4 linked regions of the Pelodiscus sinensis genome follow. The protein of the gene in region 1 purifies or fractionates together with the protein of each later gene. This does not show direct contact. Links are inferred from orthologs where the notes say so. Each region holds a gene or a part of one and is shown on either strand. Other genes may lie near its edges.

Evidence for each region.
Region 2: the proteins of FUS (region 1) and LARP1 purify together in Homo sapiens (affinity purification with mass spectrometry; 3 studies listed by BioGRID and IntAct, with this or other methods). This does not show direct contact. The link is inferred for Pelodiscus sinensis from reciprocal best matches to the Homo sapiens genes FUS and LARP1.
Region 3: the proteins of FUS (region 1) and DDX17 purify together in Homo sapiens (affinity purification with mass spectrometry; 5 studies listed by BioGRID and IntAct, with this or other methods). This does not show direct contact. The link is inferred for Pelodiscus sinensis from reciprocal best matches to the Homo sapiens genes FUS and DDX17.
Region 4: the proteins of FUS (region 1) and KHDRBS1 purify together in Homo sapiens (affinity purification with mass spectrometry; 3 studies listed by BioGRID and IntAct, with this or other methods). This does not show direct contact. The link is inferred for Pelodiscus sinensis from reciprocal best matches to the Homo sapiens genes FUS and KHDRBS1.

What each region holds. Positions count from the first base shown.
Region 1 is NC_134714.1:131,652,895-131,660,558, forward strand, and holds the start of FUS (RNA-binding protein FUS), read right to left. Parts: upstream 3,022-7,664; 5' UTR 2,907-3,021; coding exon 2,894-2,906; intron 2,657-2,893; exon of another isoform or gene 2,589-2,656; intron 2,026-2,588; coding exon 2,001-2,025; intron 1,273-2,000; coding exon 1,118-1,272; intron 436-1,117; coding exon 294-435; intron 1-293. UniProt on the Homo sapiens protein: DNA/RNA-binding protein that plays a role in various cellular processes such as transcription regulation, RNA splicing, RNA transport, DNA repair and damage response. Binds to ssRNA containing the consensus sequence 5'-AGGUAA-3'.
Region 2 is NC_134727.1:38,046,916-38,054,412, reverse strand, and holds the start of LARP1 (la-related protein 1), read right to left. Parts: upstream 3,011-7,497; 5' UTR 2,792-3,010; coding exon 2,323-2,791; intron 1-2,322. UniProt on the Homo sapiens protein: RNA-binding protein that regulates the translation of specific target mRNA species downstream of the mTORC1 complex, in function of growth signals and nutrient availability.
Region 3 is NC_134711.1:91,724,719-91,731,738, forward strand, and holds the start of DDX17 (putative ATP-dependent RNA helicase DDX17), read left to right. Parts: upstream 1-4,018; 5' UTR 4,019-4,281; coding exon 4,282-4,325; intron 4,326-4,417; exon of another isoform or gene 4,418-4,747; intron 4,748-5,965; exon of another isoform or gene 5,966-5,983; intron 5,984-7,020. UniProt on the Homo sapiens protein: As an RNA helicase, unwinds RNA and alters RNA structures through ATP binding and hydrolysis.
Region 4 is NC_134735.1:3,883,458-3,890,360, forward strand, and holds the start of KHDRBS1 (KH domain-containing, RNA-binding, signal transduction-associated protein 1), read right to left. Parts: upstream 3,020-6,903; 5' UTR 2,675-3,019; coding exon 2,368-2,674; exon of another isoform or gene 2,349-2,367; intron 1-2,348. UniProt on the Homo sapiens protein: Recruited and tyrosine phosphorylated by several receptor systems, for example the T-cell, leptin and insulin receptors. Once phosphorylated, functions as an adapter protein in signal transduction cascades by binding to SH2 and SH3 domain-containing proteins.

The sequences.
Region 1 (7,664 bases):
CTATAAATCTTCTTGCGCAAGAATACGCATGCAGTGTAGACGCTCTAAGTTTTTGCGCAAGAATGGCTGTTCTTGCGCAAAAAGCCTGTAGTGTAGACGTAGCCTTGGGTTCTAGCCTCAGCTTTAGGAAAGGAGGAGTCTAGCAGGTTGGAGCAGGGATGGGAGTAGGAACTCCTGGGTTCCATACACTGCTCTGCCATTGACTCAATCCGCGAGCCTGAGCAAGCCCCCTTCCCTCACCATTTGTAAAATGAATATAGACAGGGGCTCAGAAGGGAAATGTTTAGCCATACCTTCCCGTTGTTGAGCTGGCTGCTGGTGGCTGGGAATAGCTAGGATACGATGAGGGTTGTCCGTAAGAGGTCTGAGAGGTCTGACTGCTGCCATATCCAGTTGTTCCATAAGCTGGAGGTGTTGACTGAGTGCTGTAGCCAGCTGGTAAAAAACCCAATCCATTCTTAAAACATGGCCAGGCTAAACAGACCCAATGAATCCCTTCTATACCTCAAGCTGATTCAGTGCAACTGAAGTATAGAAGAGAGGCACCAGCTTATGTCTCCACAGCTCCTTTGGAAAGGCCGTGTTACTTAGTAAAGAATAAAAGTAACTCAGGAGACAAATTCTAACCTCAGTTCTGCCACATGTCTATAGTTTCAAGGCACTTGGTAAGATGTATCATACTAAACTTCCCTCCCATCGGCCCTAAATTGCAGGCACCTCTGGGGATGATATACAGAAACTAGTTAGATACACAATGCAAACCTTGGGGGAGGATACCAAGTAGGGAAGCAAATTTTACGCAATCCCTAGCCCATATATAGGCTAGAACTAGATGATGCAGATTCACTCTCACCCAAAAATGAAAGGTGATAGGGATTTTGTATTATTCAGAAGGGCTGAAGAGTGTTATTGGGTTTTTAAACACTTGATGCAGTAGGGACTGAATCAGCAATATAGCCACACCAATTAATGGATCCTTTGATGGAATTGGCCATCTGGAGAGAACCGATAGGAAAATACTCTGACGTCACTCAAGTAACTTTTGGATGGTGCTGATGAGACTTGCTGGCAGTGAAAAACAGCTTCACTTTAGCTGGACCAAGAGAGTGACACTTACTGCTTTGATTCTGGCCGTAAGAAGAACTGTAACTGTTCTGTCCATATGCTGAGGTGTCTGCAGACTGGCCGTAACCGCTGTAGCTCTGCTGGCTGTAGGGCTGACTCGTTTGCTGAGAGTATCCCTGTCCTGGTGGTGCTGGGTAAGCCCCATAGCTAAATGAGGATCAGACAGGTTAGATATTCCAGAGGCCAGCAGTGACTCCATAGTTAAGGCTGCAGCAGTTTAGAAACATTTTTTTTCAGAAGTCCCACACACATAAGCAAACTAATTTGAAAATTACCATGACATGGTGACACCATGTATCATGCAATTTGGGTTGAGGGGGATTTGAGGGAATAACCCACATTGTATCAGAAGCCCTGAACACCATTAGCACTGCTCCAGGGAAGCAACGAGTCAATGGATTTAACAGCATGGACTAACAAGTGTGTCAGTTGCATTACAGGGCAATAGGCAGATAAGAGCATTGTGCTAAATAGAGGCAGAGTCCCTGCCCAAAAGAGCTTAGAAATCAAGGGTGTTTAGGAGGAAGTTTCCTTTAGAATCACGTCATTATTTAACTCCCTGCTGTTGTTTTATTTAGATGTTTCTATAAAGCAGAGAATGCTGGCCGCTATTGGGAAACAGGATGCTGGGCTAGATAGGTGCACTGATGTGATCCAGGTCTCTAGGAGCAAGGAGGGATAACAGACTAGATGGGCCCACAGGTCTAATCCAAGGCAGGAATGTGGGCTGGAAGAGCCCACTGATCTAAGGCACTAATAGAAGAGCGATGAAGGAAAGACTCCTGGGATAACCCCCCCCTCCCCCATGTGCCAGCGTTGTCTTCTTTTTGCAGAGCCCAGACGGCCAGCGCCGCGCACGGGCGGGGGAGGGTTACCTCTGGGTGGCCGGCTGGCTGTAATCTGCAAGACACAAAGAGGGAAGCAGTGAGTCAGGTCCCAGACCAAAGCCCAGCTCCCGGGAGAGGACGGGCGGGGGGAGCAAGGGGGGGCACCGTACAGAGGGGAGGGGGAGGCCCAGTGCGCAGGTGTGTGTGTGTGGCTCCCCCCCCCCGCAATGGGGCGGTCACAGGCAGTGCAGGGCATCTACCCCCAGGCTGGGTGGCAGCGTGTGTGCGTGGGGGGGGAGGGAATGGACCACGCTTCACTCAGTGGGCGGGAGAGGCGATGATTGGTCGGGCGCGGAGGCTCCAACCAACCCGCTCTGGCGCCGCCTGCACAGCGCGTGGCAGAGCCCGGATGAAAGACTGCGGCAAAAAAAAAAAATCCGCACGACGCATGCGCCCACACGCGGGTGCAGGGCGGGCGGCCCATTTCTACTGCGCATGCGCCGCCCTCTGCGGCTCGAGGCGGCGGCGGCGTCAGGGGCCACAGCGCGCGTGCGTTCTTCTCTGCCACGCCCTTCCCTCTCCGCGCGCGCCTCGCGCCCCCTCCCTCCCCAGGCGCGCAGGCGCCGTTGGGCTACACGCGCGCAGCGAGGAAAGAGCCGTTTCCTTTCCCCCCCAAAATGGCGGCTAAGGCCTCAGTGTCGCAGGTATTGAAGGGGGGAGGGCGCCCCCCCGCACGAGGCACCGGCCCCCCCGCGCTATGTAGGAATTGCGGCCCCGCGTGCACCGGGCGGCGCTGAGCGCGGGAGCCCGCCCCCGCCACGGGGGGGGCATTCGTCCCCGGGGGGGGGGGCTGCGACCCGCCCCCCCCCCGACGGGTCTACAACCCATGAGCAGCCCCCTCCCGCCAGCCCGTGCCCTGCCGCAGAGCGGCGCCGCCTCACCGTTAGACGCCATTGCTGCTGCCGCCGCTGGAGTGAACGTCCCTCCCCCGCCCGGCAGTATTTATACCCTCCCCTCCCCCGCCCCTTGCTCCTGGACCGTACCAACTCCCTCGGCAGCTGGGGGGGTTGCTTGGCCCCTCCCTTCTCAGAGCCGCTGTTGCCCGCTCCCCCCCCACTCGGGGCGGACCCGCAGCCGGGTGTATTGTCTGTGCAGGGGGGGCGGTGGTTTTTCTCTGTGCACAAGGCCCCTGTTCTGCCCTTCCGGCCACCCCCCCCCGGGAGGGGAATGGTGCAGGCTGCGGGGGTGGGGGCGCGAGGAGGAATGAGGTCATGGGGCTGGGTGGAAGGAACCAAAGTGACTGCGGAAGCGGGGGGGAGGGGAGGATGCGGGGAGAAGGAGTTTGGTTTTCTGCGGGGGGGGAGGGTATTTGTGTGTGTGGCTGGGTGGGAGGGAGGCAGGGAGGGGTTTGTGCTTAGGGCAGTGTGAGTGTGTGTGTGTGTGTGTGTATAGGTGTGCATTTGTGGGAGACCTTTGTGCATCAGTGAGCAGGAGTCTGAGTTGTGGGTCAGTGTGCAGGAGTGTGTGTGCGTGAGAGAAAGATCTTTTGGGGTAAGTGTACAGAGGTGCATGTGTACGAGACTGTGGTGCATCAGTGTGCAGGGGTTTAAGATATTTGTGGGTCTGTGTGCAGACCTGTGTGTGTGTGAGAGAGGGAGAGAGAGAGAGAGAAAGAGAGAAATCTTTGCGGGTAAATGTGCAAGCAACACTTGTTTAGTTTGTCATACCAACAAGAAATCATTGAATTGATAGGAGGTGGGTTTGTCCAGTAGTGTCTCTTTGGGGGAGTGTCTCCTGAGGGCAATGTGGAGTAATGGTAAAAGCCATGGGCCAATACCTAGGGTCTTAGATCTCTGGCCTTTTCGGTGATCATGGGCAAGTCACTTTCCCTTGGCATGCCTCATCTTCCTTACTAGTAAAACTGGAATTAACTCCTTTGCAGAACTCTTAGGCTATGTCTACACTACATGCGTCTTGTGCAAGAAGCCTTTTGCGTAAGAGCTTTTGCACAAAAATTTATTGCGCAAGAGCACGTCCACACCTCAAATCACATTGCAAAAGCACATCACTTTTGCGCTGTGCTTTTGCGCAAGAGAGTGTCCACACTGCATGGGCGCTCTTGCGCAAGAAAGCTCTGATGGCCATTCACAGAATGACCATCAGAGCACCTGTGCTTTTTCCTATAGCAGTTTCTTTCGCAAGAAACCCCTCTGGAGCATCCACACTTGCCTTTTTGTGCAATAGCTGTAGTGCTAAAAGCAGTTATGCTTCAGAAAAGGAGGTTTACTTATGGTGGAAAAAGTCCTCTGTTCTGCCGTTTAACTGCCCATTTAATTGCCCAAGAACTCATTTGAGCTGTGGATGCTCTGCAGGTTTTTGCGCAAAAAGCTTATAGTGTAGACGTAGCCCTAGAAGCAGACCAAGAACACTAGATAAGTGCTAAGGTGTGTGTGTGTGTGTATAGGGGACTGAGACAAGTACATGGGTTTATATAGATGGATAGGTACGTATTTGTGTCTAGATATGTGTGGGGATCCATTTTTTTTCTCCAGTGTCTAAATCACTCTGTGCATTTGTTGATGGTATTTCCAAAAGCTGATTTAATCTGGATTAATCCTGACTGTTGGCATAAACTGAGTTCATGTCTGCAGTCTTGCTCTTGATTCAAGAAGGCGAGCCAGTTAAATTGCTCAATAAAGCTTAGTGAGATCCTTGACTGACCTTTGTTCTCTTGTTGCAAAGTTCACGTCTGAATATTTATAACAGTTCAGCTGTTTACTACACCTTCTTCTCAAACCCTAGAAGAAGTATCCTGGGATGCATTTCATCAGGACCTGGTGACTTGCTGACATCTAACTTTCCTAAGTGATTTTTGACTTGTTCTTTGTGTATCCTATCTTCTAAACTTACCCTCTCTCTGCTTGTATTCACTACGTTAGGCACACCTCCAGACTTCTCGGTGAAGACCGAAACAAAGAAGTCATTGAGCATCTCCGCCATTTCCAAGTTCCCTGTTACTGCTTCTCCCTCCTGACTAAGCAGTGGGCCTACCCTGTCCTTGGTCTTCCTCTTGCTTTTAATGTATTTATAAAAGGTCTTCTTGTTTCCCTTCAGTGGGGACGTTTCTTAGTGAGCCATCCTCCAGTAACAAAGTAGGAAAGAATTCATGGTAATAAAAGTAAGAGTCAGTTTTAATGGTAGAATCAGGCCAGAACAATTCCAAAGGCAGGGTCTGAGATTTTAACCATTTCAGATTATACAATATAGGGATCACCTAGAACTCAGACAGCTGGATTTCAGCGCTGATATTGGGGTGGGATGTTTGAAAGGATGAAAACGGTCTCTAAAAGAATGCACTTTAAATTAGATTGTAAGCTCTTTGGAGCAGGAACGTCACAAAAAGTGATTACTCTGCAAGGGTGGGGAACCGTTTTTGAGTCCAGGGGATGCTGACCCCACAGAAAAATCAGTCGGGGAGCACACACAAGTGAGAAGCAAAATAGAAAAACCAAACCCTCACTGATGTGGCCCCTGACTGAGAAGGAGAAAGACACTCCCCATGTTCCCTTTGTACACCAGATCTGAACTGTACTGAAGTTCAGCCACTGTTAGGGTGAGTAGATTAATAGATTTTAACACCAGAAGAGGCCACAGGTCTGTTCATATTTAATCCTCTCTCAGTGCAGGGCAGTGTGATCAGATTAGATGGTCTTTTGAGGCTTTATCCAGTCCTACCTTGCTGTAATTCCATAAGTGGAATTGACTTCCAAGAGAGTTTCACTCAGATACCTCTGTACTGAACCAAGTAACTTGTGTTTGACTAAAGCATCTTGTCTATTCTTGATCTGAAGCTATCAAAATATAGAGAATCCACCAGCTCTCTTGGGAAGTTAGTTCCAGAGTCTAATTACCCTCATTGTTAAAAGTCAGGGCCTTGTTATTTCTCATTGGAATTTGTCTGTCTCCCAATCACTGGTTCTTGTTATGCTGTTCTTTGCCACAGTGCATCCTTCTCTGGGGTGGAGCCTAGCAGTCAAACCCACATATATCACTACTGTTGGCTGGCTGAGCTAAGAGCAAACCCTTCCTCTTCGGAAAAAAAAATCACAGGATCTTTGCTGGAGCAGACCAAATCTTGGTTAAAAAGCTGGTTGCAGAATTTCTGGGAAATTCAAACTTGATAGCTGTCCCACAAGCCATTCCTATGAGAGACTTAGGTTCTGAATTCTCGTTAGCTACTCTTGTTCCAAGGAGAAACTGAGAGGGAAAGGTTACCCACAGCTGCAAGGAGATCACTCAAGACTTTGACACATTATCCTTTACGTGATTTAGATCCACATACAGTAACTCCAAAGTCCTCCCAAGCAACAGATGGCTTGCAGGGTGGCCGAATCCTTCACATCCCAGTTTAACGAGGCCTAAAATGTAATTCCATTAGCTGCAGGTTCTAGGGTGGAGTCAGATTTCCCCCTATTTCAAGACACATTATATCGAAGCAGCCCTTCCTTCCCTTTTTCAGTCTGCACCCCTGAGCAGGTTTTTAAAGGAAGATGAAAAATCTTTCCCTCAGGTTCCCAGGCCGGATGTCTCAGCAAGGATTGGGAGTTTAGATCAGAAGCTGTTTGGGGTTCGAGTCATCTCTTTGGTGTGTGTTTGTGCAGCCCCTAGCACAAAGGCCCCCAGCTGTGATATTTTGAACCTTGTTTTATTGTGTCATTGTGAATGTGTACTTGTGTTTTATGACTTGAAAAGTGTAAGTAGCAATTCATAGAGGACATAATTAGATGCCAGAGATAGTAATCAAACGCCTATCAACACGATAATATAAAAGCAATACCGTTACTTCTTTTGCCATGCTTAATACATCGTTTGGTGACAGTTTCCTGAGGTTAGTACATTTCACTTATTCTTAAAATTAAAAGGTTTCTATAAGCTTAGAGGAAACACCTTTTTTATTTGCTTATCTATGGCATGAACAAATACATCATCTCTTATATAACAGGGATAAATCACGCATCAGAGTCATGAAATGGGCTAAAAATAAGGTGTTAAAAAGCTGAACAAGTGGAGGGAGGCATGAAACACTCTTTGCTTGTGACGCCATTTAGTGTAGGGCCTGCCCTGCTAGGCCCCATAAGTGGTATGATAAATAAACGTAATGATTCTGTACTTATCACTGGGGTATCCAATTCACAATTGTCACCGTGGGTTTCTTTTTTAAGCAGCATTTCTTTTAAAACCCCTCAGGATCAGGGTCCATTCAGCTGCACAGAATTCGTGTCTGGCGCAGTGTGTTTTCCTCATGACAAAAGAAAACGAACGCACGTTTAAGTCAATGGATGAAAAAATGAGCGTGGGAGGTGAGCAGAAATTGCACTTGGGGAAGAAAAAAAGCCCATGAACAAAATTGAGGCCTGGATTCTTTGTCTTGGGGCCTATCTGCGCTGGGGGCTCTGACTCTGCAGTGGTGACGTGGTATAAGAACCCACACAGAATAGAAAAGGTTGGTCCATGTCTCGGATCGGGATTCAGGAAGAAAAACGATTCCTCTCCCTGGAACCCCCTTATTCTGCAAAATGGTTTCTTCCCCAGTCCAAGGCTTTCCTGTCTGTGTCCCTGAAACCGGTTCAATCCGGCTCAGAGGCCCATGCGCCATTTATGAATGGCCTTGCTGGGCGTTGGCAAGGCAACCGTGGAAAGTAGGTCACTGGC
Region 2 (7,497 bases), on another chromosome or scaffold:
ATTCCATGGTTTCACAGACTACAGCAGCTTGCCTCCATTGAGATTTTTGGGTGAGTTCTCATATATGCTTTTCCCCTCCACTATAAAAAAAAAAAAACCATTTTCCAAGCAGATACTGCAGAACTGACCATCTTCCAAAGATCAATAGCTATGATGATTCATCATGTTAGATGGTACCAACTTCTGCAAAATGCTGGCACAGGCAGGGATGAAAAAAAGATGCCATAGCTGGGAATGTAATTTAAAGTTTGCAAGGGAAGGCTGAAAAGCGTAAGAGCCTTCATAAAGGAGATGTCCAATTCAAATTCTCAGTATTTTCTCCTGGCATGGGCTCCCTTCATGCTAAAACAGTTTATTGCTCCTGACGGAGGTAATAGCTATTAAAACTTGCAAGAAAATGCAAAGTGTTCAGCATTTCCCATCTTGGCCTAAAAAGAATGGAGGGAGGAAGAATGTACAATTCAAAAGGCAGCTGTTACTAAACTAGCACTGAGCACACAGCCCTCCCCTCCCAGTAACTTTTGGGGGAAGAGGGGCTAAGGTTACACCAGAGAACCAGCATTGCAACATGCAGGATTACCAGAAAGTTACTCCCAATGTCCTTCGGGCCAAGGGTTTATTCCAAAGAAAAGGCGGGGAAGGGGGCTGTTGTTTGTTCCGCATATTCACCTCCCATTCCCATCCTCCACGCAAATTCAATGCTGGGAAGAAAGGGTTACACGCCAGCTTATTTACAGCAACGGCACGGCCGTGAAATGAAGCGCTGAGGCCTACATGTCACGGTGCCAGCGAAGCACGGGAGACAGGAGTCAAGGGCCCAGCCGCAGTACGCTACAGAGGAATACGCACACGTGGGGAGGAGGGATTCCCTTTCCCACACGCGCAGGGCCGCGGTGAGAAGGGAGAACACGTGGGGGTGAAGGGGAATCTCCCCCACACGGTGCCGGCGTGCTCCGATCCATGGGGCACGGATCCGACACGCACACGAGAGGCAGGGAGTGGGGGATGGGCCAGGCCAAGCAGAGCCTCTCGTACCCCCCCCCCCTTTCCCTCCCCAGCACAGCTAGTCTGTCACCCTTTGAGGCGCTGCAAATTCTTGCTGGGACCCAACCCGGCGGGAGAGGGGGCGATCAGCGCCGGGAAAAGGGAGAAGGCCCCGCGGTGAGCGGGGGGGGGGGGCGGGGGGGAGAAATCACATGTTCGCAGCAGAAGAAAACCACGTTGTCTTCACTGCAGTGGAATGCCGGGAAGGGGAGGCAGCCCCGAGCGCAGCCCGCCCCCCACACACGCGCGCAGCCCCGATCGAACGCTGGAGCCCTCCGCCGTGGAACGTTCACACCGCGGCCTGGAACGTTGACACCGCGGCCTGGAACGTTGCAACAGTGCCGTGGAACCTTCGGCGTGAAAACCCGCCGCTGCCTCCCCCCCCTCCTCCTTCCCCGCCCCAAAGCCGCATGGCCGAGCCGCTCCGCCTGGGCTGGGCTCCCCCTCCCCCCGCACACATGCTCTCTACGCCCTCATGGCTCCCGCAGGCGGCGAGCCTCCCCTTCCCCAGCGAGCCGGGGCCGCCCCAGAAATCCCCCATCCCCGTTCCCCCGATGACCTCCCCCGGCCCCGCCAAACGTGCGCCCGGCTCGGAGGCAGGCGGAGCGCGGCGGCGGGCGAGCAGATCCCCTTCCACGCGCCCAGGCCACGTTTAGTTTCTCCCCCACGCCGGGCTACGGCCCGCGAGACCCCCCTATTCGGAGCACCCGGGCCAACTCTGGCACCCGAATCCAGGCGGGGGAAGGGCGTGGAGGCCTCTTCTTTTCCTGCTCCGTGCCGAACACACTCATTAAACATTTACAATATGGGAAATGCGGCCTGGCTCCACGGGGGGAGGGGAGGAAAGTGATCTCTTCCCACCAAGCCGTCCCCTCCCCCTTCCTTACACGCACCGACCAGCCCCCCCCCCCCGGCATTTCTATCATGCACCTGGGGGGGGAGGCCTTTCACGAAAAAGCAGCTCCGGCTGTGTCCTGGTCGGGCGTGTGAGACACCCCGAGGCCTGGCGAGGCTCCCTCCGGCCGCTGCCAGCCCCCCACGCCCTGCTGCGCCCGCGCACCCCACCCTCGCTTACTCCCCTTCTCTACAGAGCTGACGCATGGGGGCCGATGGGGCCCAGGACCCCGACGCAGGGGTCGATCCAACAGCGCAAGAGCCAATGGGGTGGGGTTGGGGGGGGGAAGAGAACAAAAAAACCCAGAGTCACTATACTGCATTTCAGCGATCCCACCCCACCGCGGGGAAGGGCGACCCCCCCAGCCTCACCCGCTTACCCACCTGGGGGGGACTGTCCGTTGACTGTGACCACGGCCCCGGGGGCGTTTTTAGTCCAAGGGTTCACCTTGGGCGGGGGGGCCTCGATGAATTCCTTGCGCCCGCCTCCTCCCTGCTCGCCGCCTTCCTCGCCGCTTCCCCCCGCCTCGCCCAGCAGCCGGTTCTCGCCCCCTCCTCGCTGCTGAAGCAGGTTCTCCTTCTCCTGGTTGTTGCTCTCCTCCTTCTGCTGCTTAATGCTGGGGGGCTTGGCCGCCGCGCTCCGCCGCGGCTGCTCCCCCGCCGCGCCGCCTCCCTTGCTGCAGCTGTCCGGGGCGCCCCCGCTGCCCTCCTCGGCGCTGGCCTTCTCCCCCTGGGGCATGAGGGGCTCGCCCTTCTCCCGGCCCCCTTCCTGGGGCTTCTTGATGAGCAACCCGTGCTCCTCGGCGGGCAGCAGGGGGTTGCCGGGCAGGAGAGCTTCCACCTGGGTCGCCATCTGCGCCCCCGGCCGGCCGCCGCGTCCCCCCCGCTCCTGCTCCAGGCGCTCCCCCCGCCGGGCGGGGCCCTGCTCAGCCGCACGCAGCCCGGAGCAAGTGGGGAGGGGTCCCTGCGCCGGCTCCCCCTCCCGCGGCACCCCTCCGGCTGCAGCAATATGGAGAAGCACGGAGACCACGCGACTGGCACGGGAGCGCGCACTCCCCTCCCTCCCTGTCGCCGCCGCGTGCGCGCGCCCAGCGCCCGCTCTGGCGCGTGTGTGTGTGTGTGTGAGTGCGCGCGCGCGCGCCGTAGAGGGGCTGGCCCGGGACGGCGGCGCGCGCGCGCCTGATGCAATGCGCGGCGCTCGGAGGAGCTCCTTAAAGGGGCAGCGCCGGCGGGAGGGGGCGGAGTCGGAAAGGGGGCGTGGCGCAGCCCTGCGCCTGGGAGCTTGGCTCCCCGCGTGCCCGCCCCTTAGGCACCGCTGGGGGACGGGCAGCAGCGCGCGCAGCGCCGCGCAGGAGTTGCGCCCCTTTTGCGCCAGCGCGCAAGTGCCCGGCTTGGAGGCGGCTGCGCGCCGTGCCCGGCGGATCGTCAGGCTTTCCCACACCCTGGCAGACAGTTCAACCCGCCTGGGCGAGTGTGGCCACGAGCTGCCCCAGCACCCTTGGGTCCTGCGCGGTTCCCGGGGCAGGGGGAGCGTGGGACTTAAAACACCCCCCACAAGCCCCTGAGAAGTAGGGCGTGGGGGAGCCGCTTCCTCTTAGTGCCACCTCTGCCCAGACCTGTTGGATTCCGCAGGGATTCTCCGGAACGGCCTCCTGTGCCCATCCCAGTGTCTGCATTCAATAAACGGGCCGCTCCCTGGGATGCCATGGACCACGGGAGCTGCGCTCACCCTTTCGAGAAGCCCCGAGGAACATTAAAAGCACCACCAGTGGCAGCGACAGTTTAGTTTCAAGGTAGCAGTGCCCGGAAAGGAGGGGGAGCTGGATTTTCATCCAAAGACGCGGGTGATGCCAGCTACGTGTTTTGTTCATCACTAAGGTGCTGCGAGGCTTTTTGTCCAGTTACAGACAAACTCGGCTCCCTCCCGAAGCGTCTGGATTTTGAAGGAAGTTGTTAGGAAGAAGGGGGGGGGAAGAAAAACTAGACAGTGGACAAAATCTTGGAGGAAGAGATGAACTTCGCCCCTTATTCTGAAGGGCAGTAGGGGTTAAATTTCTAACAGACGCCCCAGGGAGAGTTTCAAGTAGCCAAGGGGCCTGCAGTGAAAATGTCTTCCCTCCGGCTCTCAGCTACTTGTAACTCATTGGCCACTATGTCCCCCTCAGTGCAGGATGCACAGACCATGTGTGCCCATGACAGCCTCCTGCTCAGAAGCCGGCTGGAAGTTCAAACTCTAGAGCCATGTGCGTTCAGCTCTGGAGATTTCCAGTTCAATTCCCCGTGGGTTGACTGCCCGGAGACACCCAGATACTGTTGTCAGGACCCGCTCAGATCTTGTGGGGGCCACAGGATAAGAGAAGGCCCCAGGGGTTCCTGTAACCCAAACTTCATTGCGCTGTGACCCCCTTCTGACAATAAAAGTCGCTACACAACACTGGGAGTGGGGGCTGGCTGAGTCTGCCTGAGCCCATGTGGGGAGGGGGCCCAAGCCCCAGTGCTCTGGGCAGGGGAGGCCAAACCTCCAGAGTTTCAGCCCCAACCTCAGGCCTGTATCCTGAGCTTTGCTGCCCAGGGCTGAAGTCCTTAGACTTTGGGGTCCCGACGCACAGCTTGAAAACTAATGCTGGCAATGGCCAGAGTGCATGAGCTCCTACCATGATTCTGAACCGTCAGGGTGGTCAAACACTGGAATAAATTGCCTAGGGAGGTTGTGGAATCTCCATCACTGGAGATATTGAAGAGCAGGTTATAAAGGCATCTATCAGGGATGATCTAGATGGTGCTTGATTCTGTCATGAGGGCAGGGAGCTGGACTTGATGACCTCTCGAGGCCCCTTCCAGTTCTATGATTGGGCTGGGTGTGGGAATAGAGCAGGGGGCCCAGCTATGCCAGCTCTGTGCCAGCTGAGAACTCCCTCCCCACTGGGAGAATTCACAGCTGGCCGCATCTAGATGATTTCTTGTGCCTCTTCAGCTGCAGAGAGGGATCAAAGAATCAGAATCCAGGAGAGAGTCGGGCTTGTGGTCTTGTAGATAGCCACGTCTCAAATAGGGCGTTCTACATTAAACTTCGAGAGTGTCTAAAACCAAACAGGAAGCCATGCAGCGTGTGGCATACAGGGATAACATGCTCATGAATCAGCCGCACTAAAAGCAGGCAAGCCATTTATTTTCTCTGCTAGCTAAAAGTTCCCATTTATCTTCAGGGTTAGCCCCTACGTAAAGTTCACTGCCACAGTACGACCTACAGATGCCAAAGTTATGCATGGCTGTGGTGAGGCCCACACCAGTAAGAAAAGGCAGCAACCTCTCAGGTAGCTAAAAATGAAAAGAAAGCGCTACCAACCACTGTCACCCTCTAGGAATCCAAAAGCAGTCAGGTGGCTGGGCAAGCAAGAGGCACAGACGTGTCTCGGGATGGTGAGCATCCTTGGCACAGAGCAGGCAAACTCCAAATGGAGTCATTATAAGGCCCTAGCAATTTTTTACCAAAGTGGTTGGCCAAGTCCCAGAAAAACAAGGAAACTGCCAAGTCTGAGCTGCATCGAACTAACACTGGATGGCACGGGCTGACAAAATGCAACCCTAGGGGGTGCCCCATGAATAGACCAATGGGGCTGCAGGAGAGGGGAAATGAATCCTTACCCAATACCATCCTCCCGACCCTGACAAGAGATGCCTTCCAAGCTGACGCCACATGTAAAAACCCGACTGTCTGGGTGCAACCAAGCCACAGCAGCAGCAGTCAGATTATAGCTACAAAATCGCCAGGGATACCTATAGCCACTGCAACTGATCCTATCTGGCCTCCCTTAATTCCAGCCCCGTCGTGATTCCCTGTGAAATATTTGTCATGTTCACGCCTCCCCTAGGCTTGTCACTATGACAGTCTGTCAGCGGTGTACTGTACAATCATAGAAACCCCCCCTCGGGGGGAAAAGGTGCCTTTTGGAGCCAGGGTGTGGTGCAGGAGAGAGAGAGGCATCTCAGACGCTTGCTCGGTATGTGCTAAAAGGAACAGAGAACACTGCTGCCGCCTCATTTCTGCTTATGTAAGACTTACCTGTCAGGGTATTTTGGGCCCAGCTGTTTCTATATTTAGTCTGCAAAAATAAAGCCTGGATACCCAAAGATGATGCATTTCTGACAATGCTTTCAGGTCCAGACAAGGAGGAGCATGTAGACCCACAGTGTGGGGTCCTACCCCATATCTAGGACTATAGACACGATGCCAATACAAATAATCCATAATCCATGGAAAGATACATTATGCACCGTCGAAACACACTATGGCTGTGTCTACACTGGCATGAATTTCCGGAAATGCTTAAAACGGAATACTATTCCGTTTTCAGTTTTTCCGGAAAAGGAGCATCTACATTGGCAGGCTGCTTTTCCGGAGAAGCGTCTGTGGCCAATGTAGACGCGCTTTTCTGGAAAAGACTACTGGGCTGTCTACACTGGCCCTTTTCCGGAACAGTGTTCCGGAATAAGGACTTATGCCCGAGTGGGAGCAGAATAGTTTTTCCGGAATAGCGGCTGATTTTGTACAGTAGAGCATTGTTGCTTTTCCGGAAATTCAAGGGCCAGTGTACACAGCTCGCAGCTTATTCCGGAAAAGCGGCTGATTTTCCGGAATAAGTGGCCCACTGTAGACACAGCCAAACAGTATACAGCAACACACAACTAAGTCTGCACTGGTGCACGTGCACACACGAGTATGCACCATACTTGCACACAATTGAATTCAGTCTCCTTTAGTGTCATGCTCTGAAGATGGGAGGTTATTACCCCAGCAGCACCTCTGTATTTTAAACTGTCATCGCCAGGGCAAACATTGGTTTTCAGGGAGTTAGTTATTTAGCAGTTGTTTTTTTTTAAATTTGGGCTGAAATTTCTAGGTTTTTGGTTTATGGAGTTTCTATGATTAAAAAAAATCTCAAAATATTGAGCCTGAGTTTTGCCCTGTGCAGCCTATATGTATTTGCAGAGTCTATTATTTATAGCGCACCTCCTGTGTCTAAGTTATTTGCAGTTAGATCTTTTAACTGCCTGTTTAGTGCTTACATTAATACGAGAAGACAGTCTACGATCAATAGCATTGCTATAAACCATGTGGACCAGCCAAACAGCTGCTCTTGGCATCATGGTTCTACCAGCGATCACCTCGGAGTTCCTGTAAAACAGTTTTATGAAACTACTCTAAGAAAATTTTAAGTAAGATTACATTAAACTTCGGTGAGGCTTTGTAGGAACAAGCACAAGGCCGTGGCGGAGTAAGAGTGAGCGCGTCTAACATTGTAACGCCAAAGAGCGATGGCGGCGATGGGGCATGTCCCCTCCATCTCGCTGAAACTCGCCGGGTTCACCAGATGGAGTGGAATTTGCCGAACTAGAAGCCGTGACCTCTGTGCCGCATTTCAGCCCTGAACGTGCACACAATGGCCGCATTCCCTCTGCCTTCGTGCGATTATCTGCCAATTCCATGGAGGGACTCGTGGCCAACTTTGCCAACAATGGGGTGCAAATGGCACATTTGGAGCCAGTCGCGGCGCTCTC
Region 3 (7,020 bases), on another chromosome or scaffold:
ATCGGTCCTAGAACAGATCCTCGGGGCACTCCGCTAGAAACCGACCGCCAACCTGACATTGAGCCATTGATCACTACCTGTTGGGCTCGACAGTCTAGCCAGCTTTCTATCCATCTTACAGTACATGTATTGAATCCATACTCCCTTAACTTGCTGGCAAGAATATTGTGGGAGACCTTATCAAAAGCTTTGCTAAAGTCAAGGTATATCACATCCATTGACTTTCCCATATCCACAGAGCCAGTTATCTCATCATAGAAGCTAATCAGATTGGTCAGGCACGACTTGCCCTTTGTGAATCCATGTTGACTATTCCTGATCACTTTCCCCTCTTCCAAGTGCTTCAAAATGGATTCCTTGAGGATCCCCTCCATGATTTTTCCAGGGACTGAGGTAAGCCTGACGGGTCTGTAGTTTCCTCGATTGTCCTTCTTCCCTTTTTTAAAGATGGGCACTACATTTGCCTTTTTCAAATCATCCAGGATCTCTCCCGATCTCCACGAGTTTTCAAAGATAATGGCCAAAGGCTCCGCGATGACATTTGCCAATTCCCTCAGTACCTTCGGTTTCATTAAATCCGGGCCCATGGATTTGTGTATATTTAGCTTTTCTAAATAGTTCCTAACTTTTTCTTTCCCCACCAAGGGCTGTCCACCTCCTTCCCATACTGCATTGCCTAGTGCATTTGTCTGGGAGCTGACCTTGTCCGTGAAGACAGAGGCAAAGAAAGCATTGAGTACTTCAGCTTTTCCCACATCATCTGTCACTAGGTTACCTCCCTCATCCAGCAAGGGCCCCACACCTTCTCTGATCACCCTCTTATTGCTAACATGCCTGTAGAAACCTTTCTTTTTTTCCTTCACGTCCCTTGCTAATTCCAGTTGCACTTTCACCTTCCCGATAACTCCCCTGCATTCTTGAGCAATATATTTATACTCCTTTCTAGTCATCTGGTTGCCTACCATATTTGCTTCTCTTGCTGTGCATCAGGATGGTTTCTTCCTGTGCCTTTAATAAGGCTTCTTTAAAATACTGCCAGCTCTCCTGGACTCCTTTCCCCTTCATGTAAGTATTCCAGGGAATCCTACCCATCAGTTCTCTGAGTTAATCGCATTGATAAACAAGAGAATACCAATTGAAATGTATTAAATATTGTGGACATTTTTCTATATTTTCAATTACAATACAAAATGTACAGTGCTTACTTTTTTTAAAATTACAAATATTTGAACTGTAAAATGATGAAAAAATAGTACCTCTTTATACTTTGGCCATCATGCCAGAGAACATGCCTCCAGGCTGATGATGCACATTAAAAAATAATGTTAATTACATTTGTGACTGAACTCCTTAGGGGAGAATTGTATGTCTCATGCTGTGTAGTACCTGCATTCTGCCATATATTTAATGTTGTAGCAGTCTAGGAAGATGACCCAGCAAATGTTGTTCATTTTAAGAACACTTTCACTGCAATTTTGACAAAACACAAAGAAGTTCTAAAGCTAACTACAGCACTTGACCCAAGGTTTAAGAATCAGAAGTACCTTCCAAAATCTGAGGGAGAAGGTGTGGAACATGCTTTCAGAATGGGAGCTGAAGTGTGAAGGGACGAATCTTTAGCACATCAGGCATGTAAATATTTTGTGATGCTGGCTACAACCATGTCATGCAAACAACTGTTTTTCCTTTCAGGTGACATTTTAAACATGGAGCAGGCAGCATTATCCCTTGCAAATGTAAACACATTTGTTTGAGTGGACAAGAAGTAGGATTCAGTGGACTTGTAGGCTCTAAAGTTTCACATTGTTTTATTTTTAAATGCAGTTATTTTTTGTATATGTCTACTTTTTTAATTTCAACTTTCAGGATAAAGAGATTGCATTATAGTACTTATAATGGGGAACTGAAAAATACTATTTTTTTACAGTGTAAATATTTGTACAAAAAATAAAGTGAGCACTGTACACTACATATTCTGTGTTGTAATTGACATAAAATATTGAAAAGATGGAAACATCCAAAATATTCAAAAATATAGTATTCTATTATTGTTTAAGAGCATGGTTAGCCACATGATTAATTGTGATTCATTTCTAATCACATGATTAATCACAATCAATTTTTTTAATCATTTGACAGCTTCACTGAAAATGCTTGCATCTGTTGTCCATTTTAAAAAATGTAATGGTAGTAATCCCAGTGTTCTGGCCATATTCTAATTTAAATTAAGTAGATAGTTGAAGTTCCCCTGTTGTTTCAAGTGGACATATTTTTATCTACCTCCCATCTGTGTATTTATGCAGTTAAAGAATGTGTAGCTTCTTCACCAGAGGTGACTAATTTGAGGTGTATGAATTGTGATGCCTGGATATCATTTATATGGATCAGATCCTTTTCTTTGAGAGGCAAAAAAGCTTGTGTAAGGCACAACAATTATGCAAAGGTTTCCCTTTAGGGCTTCTTTTTTGCTGCTAACACTTGAGATATTGTGGGGGTGATGCTCCTGCAAAGCAAATACCTGGCAGCTCCGCACCCTGCCCTCAGACAGTGTTTCCATAGCATTGGAATGACATTGCAGAGCTCCCCAGCATTCAGGTCAGTGGAGTTTTATGCTTTCCACTTGTGGAAGCATGGAAAATAATAGGGCCATAAAAATACTTTGGTATCCTTCAGAATAAAAAGGACCAGAGGAATACAATATACATAGTCAAATTCATTTCTCATTTACAAATCTATGAATGCCTATTGATTCCAGTGGAGTTACACAAATGTAAGAGAAGGAAGTATTTTGCCAATTATTATTACAAGATTATGAAAGGATTTAAAATATTGTCCTTATTAACACTAAAACATGTAAACTTTTAAGTTGTAACAATACTTCAAAACACGCAATATATCACCACACAAAATAGCATTGTTTGCCCTGTTTTTGTAGCTGTGTTGGTCCGGAGAGAGACAGGGTGAGGTAATACTTTTTATCGAACCAGCTTCTGTGAGTAAAAGAGAAACTTTCAAGCTTCACCTTCTAGGCAGTGGAATAGTGCTTGTCAATGCTTCTGTACTTTTGTTTTTTGACCAGATCGCAAGGAATCTCCTTCCTATTGAAGGGGCTGTAATTATTTCACGTAAATAATTACATTAATTTAGCTAAATTTCCTTCCCCTTTCTTTTTGCTTTACTGGAAACAAGGAGAGAGTAAATATCATGGCGGCTGCTACTGGCCTCGTCCTGTCTGTGCACTGCGGCAAGATCGCTTTTATGACATGTGTAGGCAAACAAACATGCACTTTACACGACAACCCCTTCTCTGCCCCAGCAGACACTGAGCTTAAATGTTGTGTCAGCCTGGTGAGTTTCCTGAACAAGACGCAGCCTGGGGGTGAGGGTGGGGGGGATTTCTTAGGCAGCAGAGCTAAATTGCACCAAGGCCTTTTCAACTCTGCAGCTTGCCACACAGAATTATTGTCTCTCCAGCTTGCTGCCACCTCCCACTCATGCAGTTGCTGCAAAGGCAAAAAGACCTTATTCTCCAAGCACAATACGCTACGCGAACCATGCAATTCTGCACCCCCCCCCTCCGCCGGCCAGCTGAGCAGAAGCAACTGAAGAATTTTACGCAAAATGGAAGGCTCTTCCTTCCCCTACGCTAAACCCAGCTCAGAACCAGCCACTGCTACGAAACTTGTGTAGAATAATGTACGTAATATGCCGCTTGGTCAGGGTTTGCCTCCCCGTTCGTTAAATGGGTTACTTGAGTGGCATTTTGCGCAATCGAATTTCGGGAATAAGGAACAGCGTTGTCTCCAAACGCAAGAAGCCAAATCAGATCGTGGGTACTACGCAATTTGCGCATTGTCGTGGTTAGGTTCGGCTTTCCGGCCTCATACGTACTCAGACTTCGAGAATAGGCGTAGCGACGTTCGTATCACCCCTCCCCCACGCCGGCTATTCAGGGACGGAGCTTGCGCAAAGTTCAAGCCGCCCTTAACGTAAGTGGAGCGGGCTGGGGCGGCGGCAGCCATTTTGTGCCGGGAGCCCAGAGGAGGAGGACGCTGTTCTGTCTCCGCGCCCGACGGGCCCTCAGGCGAACCGAGCCGCTCTCGGCCCCGCGAACCGAGCCCGACCGAGTCTCTCGCCTCCCCGCCCCCTCCCTCGGGAAGTGAGGCGGCCAAAGGCGACTCCGCCGGGACACAACAGCCGCCGCCGGCCGAGCCCCCCCACCCCTTCCGCGCCACCCCCAGCTCGCGCCCCTCTGTGCCCCCCGCCCAGCCCCACGGGAAGATGCGGGGCTTCGGAGACCGGGGCCGGGACCGCGACCGCGGCGGGTAAGAGCGGGGGGGTGGGGGGAGCGCGGTGTGGGGGAGGGGCGGCGGGGAAGTAGCCAGGCAACGCCCCGGGGCTGGGCCGCGGGGGTCACCTCCTCGGGCCGTGGACTGGGAAGGTCTTGGACTCGGCTGGATCCAAGGCGAGGCGGTTCCGGGTCTGTGAGGAGCCGCTGGCGGGTGACCCGAGGGGAGGCCGCGGGGGGGCTCTTCGGATTGGAGAGTGAGGGGCCCTAGGTCGCCGCCCGGCTCGGGAGGAATCGCCCCCGCGCACCTTTGTTCCTGCTCTTGCGGTGTCTGGCGCGAGAGGGACGGGGCCGTTTCCCCTCTGGCCGGCAGGATACCCCCCCCCCCCTTCCCTGTCACTGGGTTCGAGTTCATGGCCTTTGACTTCGCTTCTCCTTCTTCCGCACTGGTCACACTTTGAGCCGTAAGGATCCCTCTTCCTCAAGCTGCTGGCCTTGCTTTAGGACTCTGCTTGCCAGGGACAGCACACGGAGTTTGTGGAGGGGACTGGTCCTGACCCTTTTTCTGAATGTCATGGCTATTAACGTGGCCAGAAAAATGGTTGTTAAATAACAGTGCCTATTTCTGCAGTATTCCTAGCCCCTGTTGAAGGTGATGGTGAAAACAGACATGAAAAGTGAACGTGAGCCTTTTGTGTAGTAGCAAAGAGCCCTTAAGCCTGATGAGTGTACCCAGGGTAAGGGGTGGAAAAATCTGCAATCAAACTACGATGTTCCATATTGCTGTGCCTATCAAGTTGGTTCCTTGCTCTTTTGATATCACTCATCATGGGGCCTAATAGAGTTTAGGAAAATAGGATTCAGTTGAGCTCTGATTTTGGGGAACAAGTATAAGACCTCATTTAATCATAAAATAGAAAATATATGAATGGTCCGGGATTGATATTTGAGTACTTGATTTAGTAGAATGGGGTTAAGAAATGGCAATACCTCAAGTTTTTCCTGGAAAAGACTAGTAGGGATTAAAGAGAAGGAATTGGGTCCTGACAGAGAGCAAATAAAATATACTTACTCCTTGTCTTATTTCTCCTTTGACTGATTTTTGAGTCAAGAAATGTGCCTGTTTGCTATATTCAAATGTATTTCCCCTTTTCTCAAGATGAAGTTGAACAATGTTTTGTTAAAATTATCTTTCCCAATAGACTGGATAATCTAAGAGCTCCACTTCAATTTTATATTCACATCAGACATACATATAAGTAACTCCCATCTGAAATATAAAGATCCTTTCAGTTACATTGCAGAGAATAGGGCCTTTTTGTTTTTCCACTATAAGCTTTCTAGTTCAGTGAAAAGCAGGTCTTGGGGTAAATGGTTTGGTGAATCTCAGATGACTTAGTCCCTAGCTGTTTTTAGAGTTAAGTGAAGAGTAATGGTATTCAGAACTATACATAGGTATTTAAAGGGACGCTATCCAGATTTTGAGGCATCAGCATTTGACCTGCCTTTACATATAATCCTATTTTGAGTAAAAATATGCTTTTAAAAAACTTTATTTTCAGATTTTATTAAGCCATGTTTTGGGTAGAACCTACAGAAATACAATACTTTGTTCTCTTTAGAATTATGCTGACGTTGATTCACCTTGCATCATCAAAATGTATTATGACAGGGTTTAGAGTGACCACAGGAAAGGTATTTATAATAATCTTATTTCATATCCATGAAAAATGAAGGTGGGAGAAAATAGTCTTGTCAAAAAGAAAAGGACAGAGTCAGGAATAGGGAAACTACTTGACAATGAATCTTACAAAAAAAAGTTTTAATTCACAGAAAGCTATAAATTATGGGCTTTGGCCCTGATCTCATTCCAAGTAATATTTGGCTTTGTTGCATAGCTTTATGAATTGCTACAAAAAGTCACAACTTTTTGTAATATAAACTGGATTGTGTGTGTGTGTGTGTGCGCGCGCGCCTGTGCATGTATCAGATAGTGAAACAGTAACAAGTATTTCTAATATTGAAAACTCTATTCCTGAATGGTTCCATACCAAAAATTCAGCACATCATAACTTTAAAAAAATTATTTCTGAGATCTAAAACAATGTTTTTTATGACTTGCAGTAATGGAAAATTGTATGGTGGGATTTGAAAGATAATTAGATAGTCCACTTACTGTGTTAGACAAACTTCAGTTGGATGTTTACTTTCTAGTTGCACTCAATTCTTGTTGCAGAGTCATTTAGATCTGGATTTTTGTGTGTCTTGTCCTGAATAAGTTGTTAATGACCTTAATAACACTGATATGGTGCAGTTTTACTTTAGCACTTGAATAAGATGCTGTAGCATTAAGTTCTGGAGGTAGCTGCATTTCAGTTATTGGTGAAGTGAATCAGTCACCACTGAACAAGGACAAATAATGCCATGCAAATAAGCAGAATTACTCTAGGTTTACAATTGAAATTGTAATCTGTTCCATATCAGTAATAGGGTTGTTAAATATCAAGTAATTGACTAATCAAATAGTCGATGCATTTTGCAATGACTATTTGATTAGTCGATAGGGCGCCTTCCACCTTTGAATTGTAGCAAAAGCCCTACACTTCAAAGGTGGAGGCACTGCATGGAGCCCAAGGTCAGCTGTTGACTCCCCCGTTGATCCTGGGCTCCATGCAGAACTGCAGCTTTGAAGCATTGCAGGGAGCCCGGTGTCAGGCTCCTCATGACGTTTC
Region 4 (6,903 bases), on another chromosome or scaffold:
CAGGGATACTTCCTTACTCCAGTGGTCACCAACGAGTAGATCTGGATCTACTAGTAGATCTTGGAGCCTCTGATAGCCAAACCAGTCAGGATCACCTATCAAGTGCCAGTACTTCAGCTGCCCTTCCCCAGGGAGCTTCCTACTTGTGAAACAGAGCAAGGAAGGGAGATGGGGGGCTGATGTCAGGGTGCCTCTTCTTCCACTCTGTAGTCTATCTCCACAGAACTGGGAGAGGGGAACAACAGGGCCTGGGATGAAAGGAGTTTCTGGCTGCTTTGGAGAATGGTGAAGGGCCAGGGCAGGGGTGAGCCTGCCTTAGCCCCACTGCAACACCACCCAATAGCCACCTGTGGTAAACAGTGTCCAGCTGGAGCCAACTCTGAACCCCTGCCCCAGTCATGTACCCCACTATACCCCAAACCCCTGCTCTAGCCCTGAGCCCCCCCAGACCCAAACCCCCTTCTGCACCCCAGGCTCAACTCAGAGTCCCCTCACACTCCAAATCCCTTAGCCCAAGACCAGAGCCTGTGCTCCAACCCTCTGCCCCTGCCTGGGGAAAGGGAGGGAGAACGAGCACGAAGGAGGCAGGACAAGGGTATTTGGGTTTGAGGTAGATCCTGGATTGCACTCACATTCAAAAAGTGATCTTGGGTTTAAAAAAAGTTGGAGACCCCTGCCTTAGTCACTGAAATGGTATTCAATTGATTGGTTTAAGTTGAGTACCACTGCAGGTGAATGGCTCCTTAAAACTAAGCCAGTTGTAGAGCTGGAGCGGGAGAGGGAAGAGGGAGACAGGGACACCACCTTTTCGAATGTGTGAATGGCTCCTTAAGAGCGCCACCTGGGGAGACACTTGCCAACCCTTTTGAAATGTAATGAAGACACTACGGGTCACAACCCATAGGTTGGAAAACCCTGGTCTAGTCAACAGGTTATCTAGTCATCTTTAAACATTGTTTTCAGAAAAAACATGATTTCAGGAAGACCCTTTAATTAACCTGGAAATAGCACATATCTAATTTATCATAACCAAGAGGAATATCAGTGGCACCAAGATACAAATTCAGAATGGAGCCACATCAAATCTCTAGTACAACGAAGATGACAGCTTTAAACAGCACTTTCCTACTTTTACATGAAGAGTTGAGATGAGTGACGTAATGTGTCTACTATATTAACACTGGCAATGCCATATTATAACTGCTTTCTAATAATGCAGTTCATAAAGAATGCATTATAGTTTCACTAGTATCAGATATTTTTAAATGTAACAATCCTAACAAGGGGCTAAATTATTCTAATCTAAAAAATTATATCCTTTATATGCAGTTTACACTTCCTTTTCTTTTTTTACACAGTAAACTGTTGGTTTAAAAACGAACAAGTTAAAACACTAACAACTATTTTTAAACAAAACTGTCTACTTGATACAGCTATGTGTGACCACAGTGCAGCTGCGCTGTAGTGATGTGGAAAAATCTGAGCCGCCAGGCGATTGGACAGTGATGATCAGGGGAAGAGAGTGCTAGCCTAGTCACAGAACAAAGACTACCATGGCCATTTCCATTTAGTTTCATCAGAGGCATGAAACAAGCTCTAATACAGATTTTCATAGTGGTGAATTAAAAAACCCCACAATTTCACATTTCAAAGGAGTAGACTACATAAAAAAACCGAGTTTACTGCCGTACCATTCTCTTTAGTCTCCTCTTTCCCATGGATGTAAAGAGCCAAGAGAATCACGCTTTCAGAGAAAGAAGTTATAGGTTCGTGTTTGATCCCTTTCAAACCATGAATTAATCTTTGGGGCTGGATGCTATTTAGGATACACCCATATCGACCCGGATTAAAACTACCCATCCATCTAACGTGCATTAGAGCAGGAACGAGCGCAACGATAAAACGCGCCCCACCCCAAGCCTTGGCGACTGAGCTTTTCCACGCGCTGCTTCAACCCTGCCGAGGAGGCAGTTTACAGAAGCCACCAGGAGCGAGCCCAGGACAAAAAGGCGACCGCCTGCAGCTCGCGGCGGCGGCGGGCCCGGAGGGAGGGAAGCGGCCGCATGGCAGCCAGTCGGCGGCCTCCTGGCTGCACGAGGATCCTGCCCCCCGGGAGCAGCCAGTCACCTCCCGGGGCGGGGAGAGCAGCTGTGAGCGCCGAACAAAGAGCGGGGTCGGCCAGGACTGGAGCCTCAGCCCCTCCCCGCCCCGGATCGCGGCCTAGGGAAGGGGGGAGGTGTTGCGTAGGCGGCGGCGCCTGGCGCCAGCAGCAGCACAACGTGGGTGACAGACACACAGACCCCCCCCCCCCGCCTCTCCCGCGCCCTTCCCCCTCCCGGCCTCGTCCCCTCCCCCACCCCGCGCTACCTGCCGTCAGCAGCTGCATGGCGTGGGTGAAGGACGGGTCCAGACTGTCCTTCTCGGCCATGAGCTCCGGCAGGTACTTGTTCTCGGGCTCCATCTTGACGGTGGCCCCGGGCAGGAGCGGGGTGGGCGCGGCGGTGGGGGTCTGCGAGGCGGCGGCGGTGGCGGCGGGCGGGAGGAGCGGCGGCGGCTGGGCCCCGGCCCCCCGGGCCCCGCCTCGGGGCGGCCGGCGGGGCGCGGGCCCCCCTTGCCGGGCGGCGGGGCCCGGAGCTCTGCCCAGCCGGGCGGCGGGGTCCTCGCGGCGCTGCATGCCCGGAAAGAGGGGGCGGGGGGGCGGCCGAACGAGCGGGGGGAGCGAGAGGGCGAACAGGATTGCCACACACCGACCGCCGGGGCTCCCAGGCCAGGAAGTGAAGGGCCGGAAACGGCTCCTCGCCCACTGCGCCTGCGCTCCCGCCGCCCGCTGCCGAGCGGCGTGTACGTTCGCCCCGCGCCCCCGTCAGAAGCAGCCAGCACCGGGCATGCGCCGCCGCCGTCGAGAACAAAGCGCCGAAGTGAGCCGACGCGCATGCCCAACCGTCACCCTGCGTGCCCTGCCCCCGCGTTGCGCGCGCGCGCACGCGCAGCGCTCAGCCCGCGAAGGCGAAAGCGCGCGAGACTGGCGGCGAAGGGAGCTGCGCCCGCCGGAACTCGCACGCTCCGCCGCCAACAAAAGTACCCAGGGGAAGCAATACGCCTGCGCAGCACGGTGACGCCCTCCGGAGGTACACTGCGCGTGCGCAAAACAACGCCCGGCGTCGAGAACAAAGCGTCGGCTACACTTGGGGCGCATGCGTATTGTCCTCTCCCCCTCCCCCTTCGATCGAATACTGAGGGCGTAGCGTAGTGGCTGTAGTGCGCATGTGCACGTCTCTCCCCTCCCTCCCGCACCCGGGAATGTGGCACGTGCTGTGGTGCGCATGTAGCCCTGGTGCGCAGGGCGCCACGTGGTCGGGTTTGGAGCCGAGGGGAGAAAGCGCGACAGGAGCCAAGGGGAGCATGGGGCGCAGCCGGGAGGAGGGGCCACACCCCAGGGACAGGGGGATTGCAGGCGGGGGGGGTGTTGTGGGGGCAACCACGAATAGTGGGTGGGCCACGTGAGTGGCTCTCCTTCATCTCAGTAGGTCACAGCATCCCATGGCCCACTGGGGATTCACCGAGGGTTGCCAGATGGTTCAACAACAAATACCGACCCCCCTCACCCCCAAAAAGGGGAATAATTCTGAGAAAAAAAGGGAGGGGGGGCACTGCCTTTAAATGGCTCCTCACTCCCCTGCCAACACCAGACATGGCAGAGGAAAATTGTGCCTGCTGGGCTTGTGTTTGAGAGAAACAGGAAATACCAGACTTTTCACAGGTCTGGTTGTTGTTGTTGTTGTTGTTGTGTTTTTTTTTTACCGGACGAGGGACCTGAATAACGGACAGTCTTGGTGAAAACCGGACACCTGGCAACTTAAGATTCACCTATGGGCCTGCAGGTCCCCCCCCCCCATGTGCTTCTCATGCACTGGGGCACCAGAGCCCCCCCCACCATTCAACTGCTCCTCCCCTTCCCGCCTAGCACTTTCACAGTGGCACTGTCTCACGTCCTCCTGCTTCCTGTCCTCCCCCTTCCTCCCAAAACTGGAACACAGTGAACAGTTGATTAGCAATGTTCCAGCTCTGGGAGGGAGGGGGAGCCGTATCAGAGCGCAAAACAGGCAATTTGCTGGGAGGGAGAGGGGAGGCATAGGAAGTGCAAGGCTCAGGTGGCCTAGTGTGTAAGAGGTTCATGGGGGAGGAGACATGGGGGGGAGGCTTGTCTGCAGGAGCCCCAATAGGCTGCATGTGGCGCGCAGGCCTCAAGTTGCCCACCACTGACATGGGGTGAGGGCAGGGTGGGTGTTGTAGGGATACTGGTGGGGAGCATGGGGTATAGTGGGGACACAAGGGATTCAGGTAGGGGGGTGCTGTGGGGATACAGGGAACAGTGTAGGATGGGATAGGAATGTGTAAGTCAGACCACACACTCATACAGACTCTGATATTTACAGCAAATCAACCAAAGAAAATTGCCACTGGAGGGCTGGTGATCTAGTCCTAAACTCATGTCATCCTCCCTAAGCACTAGCAACAGGTGTTGAGTTGGCTGTTGCCTTCTAGGGAAATTATAGTAGGCACAACACGACCCCTTGGGCACTCTTGCCTGAAGGCACTTTAGTGTCTTGCATTCGCCTAAATTCTAAGTGGTAGAGTAACATAGTTTTGGAAGTGGATCTAAGATTCTTGGAAGGGAGGACATCAGAGATTGATCCAGTTCCAGTAGTGTCCAGCAACTCAGACTTTGCAGAGCACCCTAATAAGCTGTTGGAAATGAGCTGAGTCCATGCAAGGGAGGAAAAAAGACTATGGGAAGCAGCTGAATCTATTGGGGGTTTATAAATCCCACACATAAGGTGATGGTGACAGGAGGCCTAACGCTGAGCTAATGTGGAAAGAACTTTCTCCTTGCAAATCCCCATGAAATCAAGTAACATTGCTGAGTCCAGAGTGAATCTGGAGAATGAGCACAAACCTCAGGGGAAGAAGCCTGGCACACAATTTGGGTGGGCATTCTGAACTCAGATTTCACCAACCACTACAATAGCCTTAAAATGGAATCAAAGACAGTCCCATGAGGTACTCCAATCTATACTGCCTCTCTGGTATTCTTTCCTTTGTGACAGATGGGCCCTTACATAAAAAAACACAACAATATTCAGGTTACTTCCAGTCTCAAAGGACCACTCACTTACTCCAGCTGCTTTTTAGAGCCCACACCAAAGACAGTGCTAGCCAATCCTACAATTAACTAAAGATTTATTAACTAAGAAAAAAAGTTAATTAAAAGGTTAAAACAATTAAACATACACAAACGAGTTACAGGCATGTAATAGAAGTTGCTGTGATATGCAAGTTCTATAAGTTATTTACAGAACCCAAGCTAAGCAGCTGGAGATCCCTTGTTTTTTTCCCTCTTGTGTTCCACAGTGTCTTCTGTGGTATCTATGGGTGTTCTGTTCAGCAGAAGATGACACCTCTTGTGAAAAACTAGTATTCCGCACTTGGTAATGCTTCTCTCCTGACTGGGAGTTTACTGTATCAGAGCAAACATTTAAATACTAATTTATAACATGGGATATAGATATTATAAGTGACATTAACGCATGCAACAACTCAAACATTCCATAAAGCCTAAATACATTTCTATAAATCTGATACCTATTGTAGCAATACTAACACACAAGTGGACCAGACTGGTTTCCAGCCATGCACTTGGCAGTGTTCAGTTGAGGCCTCAGGCCTTTGGCATGAGCTGGCACCTGGTCTGCCAGTAGTACAGTTGCACCAAGGGATTTTTCAGCAGGAAAACATTGTGGGTCACTGGTTGCAGGGATCTCTGCCAGTGTTGTTAATGAAGTCAGTATTCCTTTACCGGTTGGCAGGACCCCGTTCCTGGAAGCTACAAACCTCCATGCCACTGTGACCAGCCATTCTCCCATAATGAATGGATTGATGGGTTCATAGTTCAGGAACACAGTGGAAAAGTGGAATACAGGATGTTGTGGAGTCCAGGACTTTAATAGGATTTTAAAAAAAAAAGCTAAATAAATTCATGGAGGTTAGGTCTTTCAATGGCTATTAGCCAAGATGGGTAAAAATGGTGTCCCCACCCTCTGTTTCTCAGAAGCTGGGAATAGGTGACAGGGGAGGGATCACTTGATGATCCCCTGTTCTGTTCATTCCCCCTAGGGCACCTGGCATTGGCCATTGGGATACTGGGCTAGATGAACCTTCGGTCTGACCTAGTCTGGCCATTCTTATGAACAGTTTGTAAAAGCTATGGCTACTGTAGAAAATCCTGCCATGCCTGATAGTGTGTGGGTCTGTCACGCAAGGGTTCACTCAGGAGGCTCTAGAATAGGGGTGGCCAACCCAAGGTTCTTTCCCCTCCCCCCCGCAGGTGTGGCTCGTGAAGCCCCCCCCGGTGGCTCAAAAGCTGCCCCCGCGCCTCCCAAAACGGCCCTCTCCTCCTGTCTCCCTGTGCTAACCTAGGCACGGCGCAGCCATGAAAGCTCGACCAAACGCGACTGGGGACTCCTTTTAAAAGGGCAAAAGGGGCAGTCCTTTTTTTTTTTTCTCTCAGCAACTTTGCCCCGGCTCTTTGTGCTGAATCCACCATCCGGGCTTCCTTCTCTGCCCTCTTCTCTGCTTTCACTTCCTGATTCAGTTGCGCTCTCCCTTTCCATCTGTCCAATTCAATTTCACATCTCTGACATAGCTCTCAAATGCTTCACCCAGGATCCTATTCACCTCTCCCTGCCTGTCCTTCCCAGAGCACACGTCTTCTATGCCATCCCATCGGCCCAGCACCTTCTGCTCCAAACAATCCATCCTTGCTCCTGCTAACGGGCCACCATGGTGCCAGTCATTTGCCTGCTCTTTCAATAGGAAGATACAAGAGTAGACTCTCTGTCCTCC